3 linked regions of the Rhinolophus ferrumequinum genome follow. The protein of the gene in region 2 interacts with the protein of the main gene of each other region in a pairwise test. Links are inferred from orthologs where the notes say so. Each region holds a gene or a part of one and is shown on either strand. Other genes may lie near its edges. The genes, in order: PFN2, HTT and PIAS1.

The links.
Region 1: the proteins of HTT (region 2) and PFN2 interact in binary tests that used the Homo sapiens proteins (3 or more experiments, as listed by UniProt). The link is inferred for Rhinolophus ferrumequinum from reciprocal best matches to the Homo sapiens genes HTT and PFN2.
Region 3: the proteins of HTT (region 2) and PIAS1 interact in binary tests that used the Homo sapiens proteins (3 or more experiments, as listed by UniProt). The link is inferred for Rhinolophus ferrumequinum from reciprocal best matches to the Homo sapiens genes HTT and PIAS1.

What each region holds. Positions count from the first base shown.
Region 1 is NC_046285.1:9,037,544-9,042,735, forward strand, and holds the start of PFN2 (profilin-2), read right to left. Parts: upstream 3,362-5,192; 5' UTR 2,444-3,361; coding exon 2,312-2,443; intron 138-2,311; coding exon 1-137. UniProt on the Homo sapiens protein: Binds to actin and affects the structure of the cytoskeleton. At high concentrations, profilin prevents the polymerization of actin, whereas it enhances it at low concentrations. By binding to PIP2, it inhibits the formation of IP3 and DG.
Region 2 is NC_046288.1:86,319,269-86,324,460, reverse strand, and holds the start of HTT (huntingtin), read left to right. Parts: upstream 1-1,961; coding exon 1,962-2,164; intron 2,165-5,192.
Region 3 is NC_046289.1:43,261,019-43,266,210, forward strand, and holds the start of PIAS1 (E3 SUMO-protein ligase PIAS1), read right to left. Parts: upstream 3,228-5,192; 5' UTR 3,140-3,227; coding exon 3,116-3,139; intron 1-3,115. UniProt on the Homo sapiens protein: Functions as an E3-type small ubiquitin-like modifier (SUMO) ligase, stabilizing the interaction between UBE2I and the substrate, and as a SUMO-tethering factor. Catalyzes sumoylation of various proteins, such as CEBPB, MRE11, MTA1, PTK2 and PML.

The sequences.
Region 1 (5,192 bases), on a different chromosome or scaffold from region 2:
GTCCGGATGTCCATTGTGCAGTCCCCATCGACGTATAGGCTATCTCTGATCACGGAGCACTTCTTTGCGCCAAGAGTCAAACCGTTGGTAAAGAAACCTTCTCGGTCTTTTCCTACAATCATATCTATTTCTACTGGCTGCCCCCCCACAAAAAAAAAAAAAAAAAAGAAAAGGGGAAAAAACATGAAGGTATAGTTAATTCCTTTCAGGCCTTGATATAACAGGAAAGACTGTATGCCAAGTTTGTACTACCAGTACGAGACATCCACATTTCACTAATGTAAAATCAAGTTTCAGTCTTTTAAAGAATTACTTAATCCTACATGATTACATGTTTTATATTAATTAGATTTCAGTTAACCGTGTAGTCTACTAATTAAAGACTAGTCTATGAAAAGAATCTATGAACAGTTGGTAGCTGACACTAGATAAACTACAAACTTATTTATAAACTGTATCAAGTCAGGTGGGACCTGAAGTACTTATGTAATGGTAAAGATTCACCTATAAACTTTCAGCAACAGCTTGTCTATCATATTCAGTTACATTACAGTCAGTCACGTTGCATCAAACTTAAACTTGCTTGAAAGTCTCCTGAAATAAAGCCCAAGCTTAGCCGGTCTGTTCACTTCGACTCTGCTTCAAATAGCTTGACATCTCCCCTCCCCCACAGTACGAACTTCAAACTCGAGACCTCAGCGCATTCCCACATTCATATTTCCCTCCTATTTTTGTAGCCACTACTCCTTTTTCTCTCCCACTTATCTTCCCCTCCCACCTCAGTAATCAGTTTTCCTTCTGGGCAAATGAAAAGAGGATTCTGTCTGTAGCACTGCATTAGGCAATGGTAAAAGAACAGAGAAAATGGAGGGGGATTTGGAAAGAAACTGAGGTAGCCACCAGAACCGGAAAGGAGAAAACGTGCATGCTAACATTCCATGAATAAGAAGGAAGGCGTCGCCCCCATCAGAACTGCAGAGTCATAGCAGGCCCCAGCCATTTCCAAGCACACTCCCGCAATCTTCCCAGCCAGACAGCGGGAACTCACACACAAAGACAGGAGGACTGCAGAGAAGAAAGTTGATCGCCAGATACCAATTCCCGGGAAGAATTGTAGTCCACTGCGGTGAAGGGAGCCCTTCACGTGCGAGCATCAAGGACTGAGTTCTACCCGGTTAGATCTTAAACCATGTCAAGTAGTACAAGAATAATTAGTAGCACCCGTAATAGGGGGCCTGATTTTAGCGTTTGATGGGAAGGGGGCATGAGACTAAAAAATTAAGAGACTGGCCCTAGATGTGATACAATTGTCACAATTTTAGAAAGAGCCTTGTGCAGAAAGAAGCAAAACAATAAAGCAGCACCGGAGGCTCAGTGACAATTATTCTCCACATGTGGCAACCGAGTCAAAACCATCAAGTCACAAAATCAGGCACTGGGAAGCACAAATCTGCACTAGTTCCTTACTATCATCACTAAAGAGCTCCCTCTTCAAGGGACTCCAAGAGACTTGGAGAAGAAGTGAGGTGTCCCCTCGGTCCTCAAGATTACTGAAAGCCCCATAAAAGCACCCCCTTTTTTGGAGCTATGTTGCGTAATTGGGGATAACGGTATATCGATGAATCTCCATAGGAGGAGAGAAATCAATGGCAGTTCGCCATCTTGGAGAATTAAAAAAAAAAAATCCTATGGAGGCAGAGCTGAAGTCCAGATTCACGAATCCACCTACGTTGTGGGCGTACATTTCCCTCAAGCCCCAGAGGCCTGGCCACCGGCAAACCTACGCAAAGTCGCCGCGAGGATCCCGGGGGCCGGGCAGCCGCCACCTCCCACAGCCCGCGGCGCGGGCGGCGCGCTGTCCGCGGCGCGAAGGGTGGCCCGGCCGCGAGAGGACCCTCGCCCCGGCCCCGTGCGCCCCGGCCCGGCCCCCCAGGCCCCCGCTTCCACCCCGGGACGTGCAAAGCAAACCGCAGGCTTCCCGGGTACCTGAGGGAGACGCACGAGGGCAAAAAAGGCGACCCCCACCCCCGCTCCGGCCGGTGCGCGCTCCCTCCCCCAGCTTCACCCGCACCCGCACTGGGAACGCGGGGAGCCGGGCCGCCGCCCCCGCCTGTCAGTGCAGCCCCTGGCGAGGGGGCGTCCCCGGGCCTCGGCCTCCCCGCCCGCCCGGCAGCCGCATCCTCGGCGCCGGCCGCCTCGCACACCTGCCCGCGCGGCCCTCCGTGCCCCGGGCCCGCGCTGCGGCGCCCCCACGGCCGGCCGGCACCACTCAGGTCGGGGCTCCGGTACCCGCGCCGCGGCCGGTCCTCACCGTAATGCTCTGGAAGACGCCCCCGGCCGTGGCTGCCCACACGTATTTGGCGTCGCAGTAGCCGACAATGGCGGCCTCCTGGCAGCAGCCATCGCACATCAGGTTATCCACGTAGCTCTGCCAACCGGCCATCTTCGAGCCCTTCGCACTGCAGCGGGTACGGCGAGGAGCAGCAGGCGCAGCGGCGGCGGCGGGAGCGGGTGGCGGCGGCGCGGGGGGAGGCGGGGCGGGGGCGGGGAGGAGGCGGCTCTGCGCAGGCACCGACCGCCCCCCTCCCCGAGGAGCTGCGGTGGGAGGACGCGGAGCCGGCGGCGAGGAAGACGCTGTGGAGGGCGCCCGGCCCGGCTGCCCGCCCGCAGCCACCGGGCTGACTAACCAGCGGCGAGAGGCTGCGGAGTGGCCGTGCTGGCGGCGGCGGTGGCGGCGGCTGCTCCTCAGCGCGGCGCTCCCCGTTCTCCGCGGTCACGGCGGAACGTACGCGCGCGTGCGTGCGATCCTTCCGCGGTGCCCCGACTCGGAGGGTCCCGGGAAGGCAGAAGGAGGCTGAGGCGGGGGCGCGGAGGGATACCGCTCCGGTAGTCACGGCCGCCACGTGCGGGAAACCGGCCCCGGCGCGGCCGAGTAGTTGCCGGTGGCGGAGCCTCGGACCCGGGCCGGTGGAGAGGACGTGTCCCCCATCGCATTAGGCCCCCCAGGGACGGCGCTGTCTGTCCCCGCGGACGGCCTGCGATGCGCCTCTTCTGCGTGGCTCGGGATGCGGAATCTTGAGCCTGGGTGTCGGATTGCAGCGTTGCCCCAGTGACGGGATGCGGAGCGTTTACTCCCGTTTGTGGTGGGGGTGGCTGGTGATAGAGTCGCTCACGCTCGTCCCGGCGTCCCCAGTGGGACCCTCTTCCCTAGATCCCTCTGTCCCTCGGCTATAAAGGCAGCCGAGCGGGCGCGCTCCGGTATCCTGAAATCAGAGCAGGCGTTGGTGGCTCGTAGGAACGTTTCTGAGTTTTGCGGACCTTTCATTGTTGCCTCATTTGGGTACCAGGGGCCTCTCGTTCTGTGTATTCTTTGATTGGAAGAAAGCCTCTCCCCGTAATGTTGCTAATCACGTGTGGCTAAATTGCTCGTAAATTCCGAACAAATAGCGAGCTATGGAAACTAATTTTTGTTAACTGGGAAAGTTATTGGTGGGTTGAAGAAATCGCTGAAAATATATTAAAAAAAAAATCTAAGAAAAGGTTCACTGAATGAACATAGCAATATTTCTGCTCTTGAAGAGTAAAATAATTTCGGAACCCAGATCTGAAAATGGCTTGTATTTACAAAGTAAACGATGGGTAGAGTCCTGTGAATCTCGCATCATCTGTAGTAACCTCTGAGCGCTATGACTAGACAAGGAATTAGAAGACGTCCTACAACAATTTCAATTTTAAGTGAACAAAGATGATCTGCCAATCGAAGGAAACGAAAGCATTTAAAACGTCGAAAAGCTCATTTTCAACTTTTAAGTTACTGTGTAAAGTCACAGTTGGTGACAGGAGGATTACAACGGAGGTAGCTCAGGAAAGAAGACAAAAACGTTGCTAAGCAATCTAATTGGTTCAGAAGTTTTATATTTTTTCTGCTGTTTGTTTGAAATGTACATCTACTGCCAAGAGGTGGGGAAAAGCACAGTAGAAAGGCCCAAGTCAGAAACCTATCAGATTAGCACTTTATGCCAATGATCCAATGATTTGGAATACCTATGCAGAATAAAATGTGTGCAAAAAATTGTTTACATTTTGCAAGTGTGCCTCCTACCTGGTTTACTTACACTTGTTCTTTACTACACCGCCTTTTTGTAGTGGTTATTAATGGTTTTAATGCTTTAATTTTAGCAGATTGTCACCTTAAAAGTTCATGTTACAGTGTGCTGATAACATGGATATGGTCACTTTGTGAGGATTCATCAAGCTGTACAATTATGATTTGTGCTTTTGGTATGCATGCTATAATTCAATTAATTTGAACAGTAAACAGATAATGAGAGGAAAGAGAAATAATAAAATACTGACAGTTTAAAGTATATTGAAATCTAGTTTTATTTATTCTGAAATTTTTAAGATTTCCTTTCTAGACTTTTAATATCAAAGAGGTGGAAATAACTGCATTCTATTATTATTTTATTGTCTTTAAACAGAAAAAAGATTAGACTAACTGAATATTCTGGATATTCAAATCTCAAAAGATTCTAAAATACATCTGTTGGGTAAGACATAAGAGTTTAGAATTTCTGTCATTTTTCTATATTTTTCAAAATGTAATGATACATTTTACAATTATGGTTTTACTTTTCCAACATAGTGTTATTTCCTAGAACTGCATATAGTGAAATTTAAACAACTATGAAAAATATATTCTGTGTATTGATTAACTAGGTTGTATAGTTTAGATTTTTAGATGATATGTTCAAAGAGAATCTCCGTTTTCAATAGTATGATAAAAAATCCTGTGCTGATTTTCTTTAGAACCAGCTTCCTAGAATGCTGCTTTGTTTTTTATTTGTATACAAAGATCTGTTCCTATTTTATATAACTACTGCTTACCACAAGATGTTTCAAAAAGTATAAGTAGAGGTAGAAAACACTGAGTTTAAGGAATAGCAGTATAAATTAAGTCCAAGGGAGTATCAGTATGAGAAAAAGAATTACCAGTTTTTATCTTTCTTACTTTTTTAAGGGTAACTGATCTCTACAGTGATAATAGCAACCTCTGTACAGAAGCAGATACAGATATCTAGAATGATTTAGCTTTTAACAATCAGTAATAGCATATTTAAATTTGGAGTTCATCATTATGCATTCTTTAAAAAATTTTTTTATCTAGGAAAACACCAACTGTGGTAAATTAG
Region 2 (5,192 bases):
TACCCACAGAATCTCACAGGGGCCGTGGGGCAGGCATCTGCCACAGCCTAGCTGGGTCCTTCCCTTCCCAGTCTCCCAAAAGCCTACGATCAAGGACCAGTTGCCTCCACTTGAAAGCTCTACCGGGCAAGACCGGCTCCTAAGCTCATGTGTTGGCAGGATTCAGCTCTTTGTGGGCTGTCGGTTTGAAAGCCTCCGTTTCTCACTGACTTGGCTAGTGGCAGCCTCCAACATGGCAGCGTGCTTCGTGCCCACGTGTAAGCCAAGTGACGGGACCAGGGCGGGCAAGACTGAAGCCTCATCTTTTGTAAGCTAATCCAGGAGGGCCATCTTTCCTTTTGTTGGGTAGAAGGAAGCCGCCAGGGGACAGCCCACACTCTGGGAGGGCACTATGAAGGGCGTGAACACCAGGAGGGGGCCACTGGGCTGTCTTAGAACTTGGCTACCAGCACCTGACAGCTCTCGGCCAACACCATCTGGCCTGTCCAGCCTGCGGTTCGGTAAGTGGCCTGGCACACGGACAAGGTCCTTTATTAACAAACATCACGGAACTGGGACCTCAAGGGTGGTGCATGTGGTGTTCCCCTGAAGGAGAGCTGTTGCTGTGCCCTTGGGGACAATACTGCCCGTGGTGGTGGTGGGTTTCCTGTTCCCTGACCATTTGGGACAACGGACGCTCTGACAGAGGGTGGAGATGTGGCTGGTGGCACAGATAGGGCACTGCTCCGAGTGGGCTCCTGCTGCATGCATTGCCTCCCCCAGGCGGCCCTCTCGGAGGCCAGCGCAGTCCCTGCCCGCCCCCCCCCCCAGTTGCTCACCTGCCTCCCCTTGAGGTGGTGAGGCCCTGGAGCACCGACCCTTCCGTGCAGCCTGCTGCGGCCCAGGCAGAGGTGCCCACAGACCTGTGGGACAGGGGTCCTCTTCGCTGGAGGGCAGTCATTCCTGCGGTGGGGAGGACTGCTTCCCGCTGCACAGCCATCGTCTCTGTGGGCAGCAGACACTGACCTGACCGTGCTAAGCCTCTTCTCCCCTGCCCTCAGGCTGCAGACTCTGGGAGGCGCCTGCCGGCTGGCTGCCGACCCCCAGGGGTTCCCTCTCCTCTCTGGGGGCCACACCCAGGCTCTCCTCCCGCCGAGACCATTCCTGCAGGTCTCCGCCGACCTACCCGACCCCAGCTCTGCGAAGGACGCACTCACTTCTCCGTGCTCCTCACAGAAAGAGCCCCGACTACTCACGTCAGAGCAGTCCGGCGACCCGCCCCTCAGTCCCGGCCACGGGTGGGCAGGGGCGCCCCCTGGTGTCTCTCGCCCAAGCCCAGGCGGAGCTCCTGCCAGGATGAGCGGGGCGTGACCGGTATCCCCTCCCCTTCCCGCCACTCAATGCCGTGCCCCGCCCCCCACCGCCACGTCCCGCCCTCATAGCGCCCCGCCCCGCCTCCCACCTCCGTGCCCCGCCCCTCACGGCCAGGTCCTGTCCTCAGCACTGTACCCCGCCCATCACCGCCACGCCACGCCCCTCATCGCCACACACCGCGTGCCGCCCCAGTCCCGCCCTCTGTAGTGACTCGCCCCTCAGCGCCAGGTCCCGCCCACACTGCCGCGCCCCGCCCCTCCGTGTACCGCGCCCTCGCAGGGGAGGGGCGCGATTATCTCAGTGGCTGCGTCAGCTCTGGGAGGTGATCTAGTGGGCTCGAGGGAGGGCGGGCTAGCACTTCGTTTGGTCATTGGCAGAGGCCGCCGCCTGGGCTGTCAATCCCGGCGGCCCGGTCTGGCCCCGCCCCGCAGGCGGAACGCCGCAGGACGCAGGGCCGCGGGGGCTGCTGGGAAGGGTTCAAGATGGCCGGGCGTTTCGGTTCTTCTACAGCCTGCGGCCCCGAACCCCATTCATTGCCGCGCTGCTGAGCGGCGCCGCGAGCCGGCCCTTGGGCTTCGGGGGCGGTCTCCGCGGAGCGGGTTGCCGCCATGGCGACCCTGGAAAAGCTGATGAAGGCCTTTGAGTCCCTCAAGTCCTTCCAGCAGCAGCAGCAGCAGCCCCCGCCGCCGCCGCCGCCTCAGCCTCCTCAGCCGCCGCCGCAGGCTCACCCGCCGCCGCCGCCTCAGCCTCAGCCACCTCCTCCCACACTGCCGCCCGGCCCGGCCGTGGCCGAGGAGCCGCTGCACCGACCGTGAGTGCGGGCCCGCTGCATCTCCCCCTGCACCCCGGGCCCCGCGGCGACGGGGCCACCCCGCGCACGGCTCCACTGCCTTGCCTGCCGCGGCATCTCGTCCCGGCATCTCGCGTGGGCCTCAGTGCCTTCGCGCGTGCAGGCACAGCCTCTCCAGAAGGCGCCGAGGCGGCCACGGTTGTTTTTCAGCGTGCCAAGTTAGGGGGGAACTTACTGCTCTGTATTGCAAAGGGCCGGGCTGCGTGGGTAGCAGAACTTGGCGGCGCCCTGAGCGCGTCGCATCTGGCTCCCCCGGGCCACTTCCGCTCCCTCTCCTAGTCTGAGAGGGAGCAGGGCTGGGGGCGCAGGGCGCTGCGCGGGGAGCTGGGAGCTGGAGCGCTGTGGGCACAGTGCATGACGTCATGCCCTAGACTGGGAGGGCGGGCCAGTGCGGCGCCGTCTGTGGGAGATTCTTTTTGCCAGGGGCCCTTGAGACAGCTTGTGTGACTTAAGGCTGTACTGCCACATTCTCGAGACATTCCCCTTAGTCCGGGAATCGCAGTGGTAATCACAGGATTTTAAGCATCAGTAAGAGGCCTGCTTGTCCAAGCTCAAGTTTGGTCTGCACGCATTTGACCGAGTTGTGGTTGCCAAGTAAGTGGTGACCATACGTAGATGGTTATGATTGCTAACGAGTGAGAAGTAATAGAATTGACTTAAGTATTAAGAGTTGACTGAAGTTTACGGCCTGTTTTCACTTGGAAATAAAAACGACACACTGCTGAGGGAGAGAAGTTCATCGTGGGGCGCGGTGACTGATGTGCGTTTTACTGGTGGTGTCGTCCAGCCTGCTGGACAGAGCGTGGGTGTCAGCGCACCCCACGGACGTCTCCTGTTCCCTTCATTGCCGGCATCCTGATACTGCTTTCATAATAGGGATCTCTGTTGCTTGTGCCCGGGACAGTTTTTGAAACAGGAAAAGGGAGACCACTAATGGCACCCTCTAACAGAACCCAAGTATTGTTCCCTGAAGTCTTCCTGTGCTGTGTGTTGAGCAGAGTTTAGGGGGTGCTTTGCTGCAGTTCAGGCCTGTCTCAGCTCGGGGCATTAGACTTCTGATCTGAAGATGTGTAAGATGGTATTTAATGGGGACACTTTCCAAGAAGCAGCCCCTTTAAGGAGCTTGCTCTTTTAAGGCTGATTCACTCTTAGTAATGTTTTCTTGTTCTTTATGTTTCTGACATAATTCTTGCTGTGTCCTAATAGTTTAATTGGAAAATGAGGACTTGGGGAGTAATGGTGGCTTATCTGTTAGAATAAAATTTAGAAGAAATAAATTATTTTTCCTTCTAAGATGTGAAAAACCTGTTTGCATATTTAGAGAGAAAAAATTTTTTTTAAACAATTTGACTTTATCTCTAGAGCAAGTAATTTGTAATCATAACCCATTCGAGACTTATTGTATGTAATGTCTCTCCAGGAAGTGAATGTCACAGACGTTTCCACGTGTGTAAACAAGGGAAACACTAAGGGGGTCTCTGCAAGGTTTACTGCCACCTGGTGACTCCTCCACTCCGTCAATCTAAAAACCTGCCTCTGTTTCTTATGCTGACTTGTCAGAACCTGAATTTGCTTATCTTCAAAATATGGGTATACAGAGGTTTCCTTGTAAAGCCGACTTGACAAAAGTAGATTTTGTTTCATTACTTTCAGGAAAGTATGATTGACTTATTTGAATAATTTTATCTATTATTTTTGCATAAGTAATACATTCCAAAAGGTAAAAATTAAAATTCTCTCTCCCACTCCTTTCTCCTGAGGGCCTAATTCCGTCCCCGGAGGCAAGCACGGTTTTACTTCCTTCTTGTGAATCCTTCCAGATATAATCTATGCATATATGAAGATAGATTTTAAATTACTTAAAAGCAAAAGTATTTCAGAAGAGTAGCTTTGAAAGGTTCTTAGCATGCTCTGAAGTCAGTTGCTTTAGGCTTGATTATAGTTTTTTTTTTTTTGAACAGGACTTTATTGGGGAACAGTGTGTACTTCCAGGACTTTTTTTTTTTTTTTTCCCCACGTCAAGTTGTTGTCCTTTCAGTCTTAGTTGTGGAGGGTACAGCTCAGCTCCAGGTCCAGTTGCCATTGCTAGTTGCAGGGGCCGCAGCCCACCATCCCTTGCAGGAGTCGAACCGGCAAACTTGTGGTTGAGAGGACGCGCTCCAACCAACTGAGCCATCCGGGAGCTCTGCAGCAGCTCAGCTCAAGGTGCCCTGTTCAATCTTAGTTGCAGGGGGCGCTGCCTACCATCCCTTGCGGGATTGGAGGAATTGAACTGGCAACCTTGTGGTTGAGAGTCCACTGGCCCATGTGGGAATTGAACCAGCAGCCTTCGGAGTTAGGAGCATGGAGCTCTAACCGCCTGAGCTACTGGTCCGGCCCTTGATTATAGTTATTTTAAATAAAATGCATAAATATATTTTATGTACTTTGCTATTGAGAAAGCAGGTATTCGTAAATTTTGAGTAAACAACTCACTGCTTACAATTTGAATCTTGGCATTCAGATGCTTCAGCTGAAAAATCCATTCCCCACAGTAAGTTTGGCCAAAAGCAATTGAGAAAGTACCTGTTCTATTTTTATGGCTCTTGCTGTCTGTGGTGTGGAACTTTAGTGTCACAGCCATGGGTGGGCTTCAGCTGAAGTATCTGAGTGCCTGTTCTCTGACTCAGCATATAGGATGCAGGGGTCCTGGGTGGGCCTGCCGTGCAGGGAGTGCCAAAGCGTGGGAGAGTCCTCGACTGCAATTATGAAGCAGTTGACATTTGCCTTTGGCACTTTCTCATTCAGATTCCCGCCAGTTTTCCCTTGACTTTAATTATTCACTCATCAGTAAGTATTTACTGACATCTAATGTGTGCCAGGCACTGTTCTGATAGGTGCAGGGCTACAGCAGGGAACAGATAAAGCTTCATTTTAGTGAGGGATGTAGACAATAAACAAGTTAGATCAGTAAAACATACAGTGTGCTAGATAGTGACAAATGAAGGAG
Region 3 (5,192 bases), on a different chromosome or scaffold from region 2:
TAAACCTTTCATAAACAAATGTGCACAGAGAACTCTTTTTGATATGTATGACTCACAATCCAATTTTTATTGACAATATCTTTAAGTGTTGCGGCTTGCACTATTCCTACAGAAGATACAGATCTATCCACTTTCCCCATCTGATCTTTGCAGATTTGTTACAGATTTAAAAGGAACTCACTAAAATGGACCATAAGGAAAATAATTATGAATACAATCCACAGCGAAATGAAATGTAGGTTGTGAAGGTAACAAAAAAGTCACTGCATTTATTCAAAGCCTTCTAGTTGGATATCCATTGGAAGTACTGTATTTTCACCTGAAACTTTGAAAAATCTTGGTTTTTCTTAACTCGTACTCTGACTTTTCCTGTCTTATTAACTGTGTTTCCCTGAAAATAAGACCTAGCCGGACAATCAGCTCTAATGAGTCTTTGGGAGCAAAAATTAATACAAGACCCGGTATTATATTTATTATGTTATATTATAAAGACTCGGTCTAATAGCAAACAAGACCGGGTCTTATATTAATTTTTGCTCCAAAAGACGCATTAGAGCTGATTGTCCGGCTAGGTCTTATTTTCGGGGAAACATGGTAGGAATAAATGCTATTCACCTTCAAAAACCACTAATAAAAAAACCATCAGAAAATATAATTTCCAAAAAGACTATCTTCCAAAGCTTACTGTACAGAAAATTATATACACACATTCTAAAATAACTATGGTAGGCGTTCCTAAGATCATCTCACCCTCCAAAAATAAGAATAGCAAATCTATCCACAATCAAGTAGTAACAAAAATTTTAATACAGCTCACTAGTTAAGCAATTTATCACAGCTCCTCAAAGAATTGGGCACATGCAATGACAGACCAGTACGTCAAAACAGTTATATAATTTGAAAAAACTGTACAACGGGAACATAAAAGTAGAAAACAACTCCTCTGGAAAAACTCAAGTAGATTTTGGAGAGAGCGAAAAAGAACAATTTTAGAAAAATGTTTCCCCCAACTGTTTAGCGTTTATCTGATACAGGCTCATTTTTGTAAAGAGAAACTTTACCTAACAAGACTCACACCAGGGATCTGATCTATCCCCAAAGGCAGTTTCTTAAAATGAGAAAGAACAAAGGAGGAAATCTCCCAGCATGTGCTTTCCATACCAGTTTCTGTGGACAGCATCAAGAATGACAATATAGCCAGCACAAGCTTTTCAGCTTTACTGTGTGGTCCATGTATACCAGAATTGATTAGCTACAATTCGAAAGGATTTCTACAAAATAAATATTATCAGGCAAAGATCACATAGTGACTCTTTTTAAGAGTAAAACTACAGAAAACATGTATCTTAAAGTTGTGTAGTACTCTTTATTTCAAGAGTTAATTACCTCCAAATATTCTAATTCCTGAGGCTTTTTCATTTCAGCCAATAGTTTGAAAATGGAAAAAAAACGAAAACTAACCATTCTAAATCTGCTCTCGCTCAAATTAATTTGTAATTAGCAGTAAATGAAAAAAGAATAGCAGTCAAAGACAGTGCCTTAATATACAAATTTTGGAACGTTAACATAAATGTTCACATTGGGCGAAACGATCTTTCTGCGAAGCTTTCCACAGAAAAACTCTGCAGGAACAAACCTGGTGTTTGGTTGCTGTAGAAGTTGTCGTTACATTATAACGGAGAAAACTGTTTAAATGATTTTTATTAATTATAAAAACAGGACCCCCTCAAAGATTTACAACTATATATCCCAATCTCCACTGATAGAGATGTCAGTTCTCTGGGTCAGGATATAACCAGCTGCTTGGTTCACACACAAGGAAGCCACAGAGAAGGAAGATCGCGTTCAGAGCCTTGAAATAATACGCGTTAGTTAAAAACTGCCTGCTACTAAACCAAAATTATTCAAGCGGAGCCCCATTTGTCACAATCCAATCATAAGGGTTCCACCCCCCTCCCCCAACTGCTTGTGTAGTGGTATACTTGCTTCGGTAAAGAAGCCATCATCAGGTAAAGAAGATTGGGGTGGGAGAAAGAGCGGGGAAAAGGGGGGCACCCTTTCATCCAATTTCGCGAGGCGTGAGTAATTGGTACAGTTGAGAGGAACGGAGGAACGTTCTATTTATTGGGGGTTGAAGTAGGATGAGGGAAGAATTTCGTTCAAATCAATATGGCCAGCAAGATGTCCCTACAAACAAAAGGCAACGGGGGGATATAAACACGAACCATTCACCTCCATCAGCTATAGCATCGCCATCATGGTGTGTGCACAGACCCCCAAAGGGCCCTCTCACCCTCCACACCAGCCAAAGGAAGAGAGGATAAAGAAGAGAGAGGTACTTCCCACCACCCACTACTGCTTCCAAAGAGGGGGTTTCTCCCCCCGGTTGCCCAAAATCAGAGAGAGAGTAACGTCCCGCCCAGGCAGACTCCCCCGCTATCCCTCAACTGAACCCCAACACCGGCCCGGAGCTCACTAAACTTTACTGGAGCTTCTCCCCACATCCCCACCCCATCGCCCCAGGATCGCGCTGCCCACCAGCGGGCCACCTCGGGCGCCTCCTGACAGGCGGGCAGCTGGGGAAAGCCAAGTCCCGGGCGGGGGCGGCAGGGAGCAATGGAGGGGCGGGGCGGCCGGAGCCAAGTTCCCGGGGGTCTGAGGAAGAGCGCCTGACAGGAGCCCGGGAGTGCAAAGGAGGAAGAGGAAGCGGCGGCGGGGAGCTTTCCCAATCCCCCCTACATGTACACCCTGTCCTAGCCCCCGCTCCCCATGGGGGGCGGGGAGGCTGACTGGACGCGGAGGAAGCCGAGCCCCAGGGGTAGCCGCAGCCCCCACCTCCCGACTCCGGATCTCTTCCCTCACCACCCCCACCAGAGGCGCCCACAACAATAACACGCCGGGGACGACCCGTCAGCGCCCCCGAGGCACCCGGGGCCCGCGGCCCGCCGCTGCCGGGCTCCCTCAGCTGAGGCCTGGTGCGCCGCTCCTCCCTACAACTCCAGACCCGGGTGGAGTCAGGCTCAAGCGGCCCCCCAGGGTCGGACCCATCCCCCCTGGCACCAGCGGCGCCGTCTCCGCGGCCAAATATTAGAAGTGAATTCGAGCTGCGCTTTACCTTTAGTTCCGCACTGTCCGCCATCTTGCGTCTGTCAGCGCAAGCGCACTGAACCTCGCCAGGGGCCGTCGCTAGACCCGCCCATCTAGCCAGCCTGGCCCCGCCTAGGCCCGGCCCCTCTCGCCCCTCCACCTCCCCGGCCCGCCCCCGGCCTCCTCCTCACTTCTGGAGCTCAGAGCCCCGCCCCTGGCACGTACAGCTGCGAAACGGACACGTACTATTTAAATAATGGCGCCAAGCAGGGAGATTTGACAGTTACTCCCCCCTCGGCCTCCCCAACCCCCATCCTAGCCTGGCTAGCGCCTCCAAGAGAAAGGCCGTAACGAGAGGGCTGCTGGCCTGAGTCCCGCCCTCCGCAGCTTGAGTATCCCTTCAGCAAAGCTTCGATGGCTACTGTCACATGAAACAATAATGTCCCCCTCCCCCAATCAGCAAGTCCTTTTCAGCACCTGCTACCTACGACACTACGTGTAGACTTAAAAAAACAATCCCTTACGTTTAAAGATCACTTGGTGAAGGCATTTCCAGGTTTATTAGCTCAGATCCTCATGACAATCCAGTAAGGTAGGCAGGGAAGAGTTTACAATTCCCGTGATACATATTCAGAAATGAGAGCTCAGAGAAGAAAAGTAACCTGCCCAAGCAAGCACTTAACTGGGGTGGCCTAAGACAAAATTCTGAAGATGTTAATTCATTAACTTCTTTGTGTCAGCAAGTCCTTAATTAGTGACCATGTTCCGGCCCAGTTTCTAAAGTCTATATATACATTGGGAAATTAAATACAACAGAGTCCCTGCCCACCTGTAGTTTTCAAATCAGGGAACAGACAACCAATAATGATACAATTACAACTGGTGATGAGTACCAGAAAAGAGTAAATGGTCTAGGGAGAGGAAAAGGGGTCAGGAGGAGCTGTATTTAATCCTGAAAGGGCTTCCTCCACTAAATTAACATTTAAGTAGACATGATGAAAGAATATTTCACACCTTTTCCTCTCTATTGAAAACTTCCTATACCTTCTCCCCAACCCTCACTTTTTGCTGCTCAACTTTGCCTCACATCTCAGCAAAAAAAGAAAGAAAAAAACTCCCTTATCTTTTCACCATAGAAAACTACTCTTACAGGCATTGGTAACATTTGGGTTACCATGAATGAAGTGTTCCTGTGCCTGTAAAGGCCAGTCCATCCACCAGTGACCTGGATTCCTTTCACTCCCGCATTCCTAAAGATTTTATTCCTCCAATTACCTCACCCTCCAGCATCATTATTTCCCCACTCTCTGACAGATTACTCCTATCAGTATATAAACATACTGAAGTACCTCCCATCTAAAACAAACCTCTGTCGACTCCAAAGTTGCCTCCAGAACTGCCCTATTTCTCTGCTCTCTTCAGTGCATAAATTCTCAGAAAAGTTTTTCAAGCTCTCTCTACTGTGCTGTTTCCACTTCCTCACTTGACGTTCACTCCTCAGCCTACTCTGATCCAGGTTTGACTTCCCTCAAGATCACTTATCTAGATTACTAATGATCTCCCTGTTTCCAAAGCCTACAGCCAATTCTCTATTCTTATCTAAATTGACCTCTCAGCAGAATTGCAAGCAAGTGACAAGTTTCCTTTCGTGTTTATTTATTTATTTTTATTTGTTTTATTTATTTATTTATTTAGTTAGTTTCAGGTGTGCAAAACAATGTAATAATTAGACATTTACACCCTTACAAAATGATAAGAATGAAATCTCACCATTTGCAACGATAGGCATGGACCTAGAGAACATTTTACTAAGTGAAATAAATCAGAAGGAGAAAGACAAATACCACATGATTTCACTTACATGTGGAATCTAAAGAATAGACTAAATGAGCAAACTAAGCTTCCTTTCTTTTGAAACCCTTTTTCCCCTGAACTTCCCTCAATATCTCACCATCGAGACTTTCCTGTTACCTCAATGGGACTCCTTTTCAAAATCCTTTGATTTCTCCCCTTTGGCTTAATCTTTAAATGGTAAGATTAAGATTAATCTTTAAATGGTAAGGCTGTGTTCCAGGGCTCAGTCCTTCTTTTCTCTGTTTTACTCT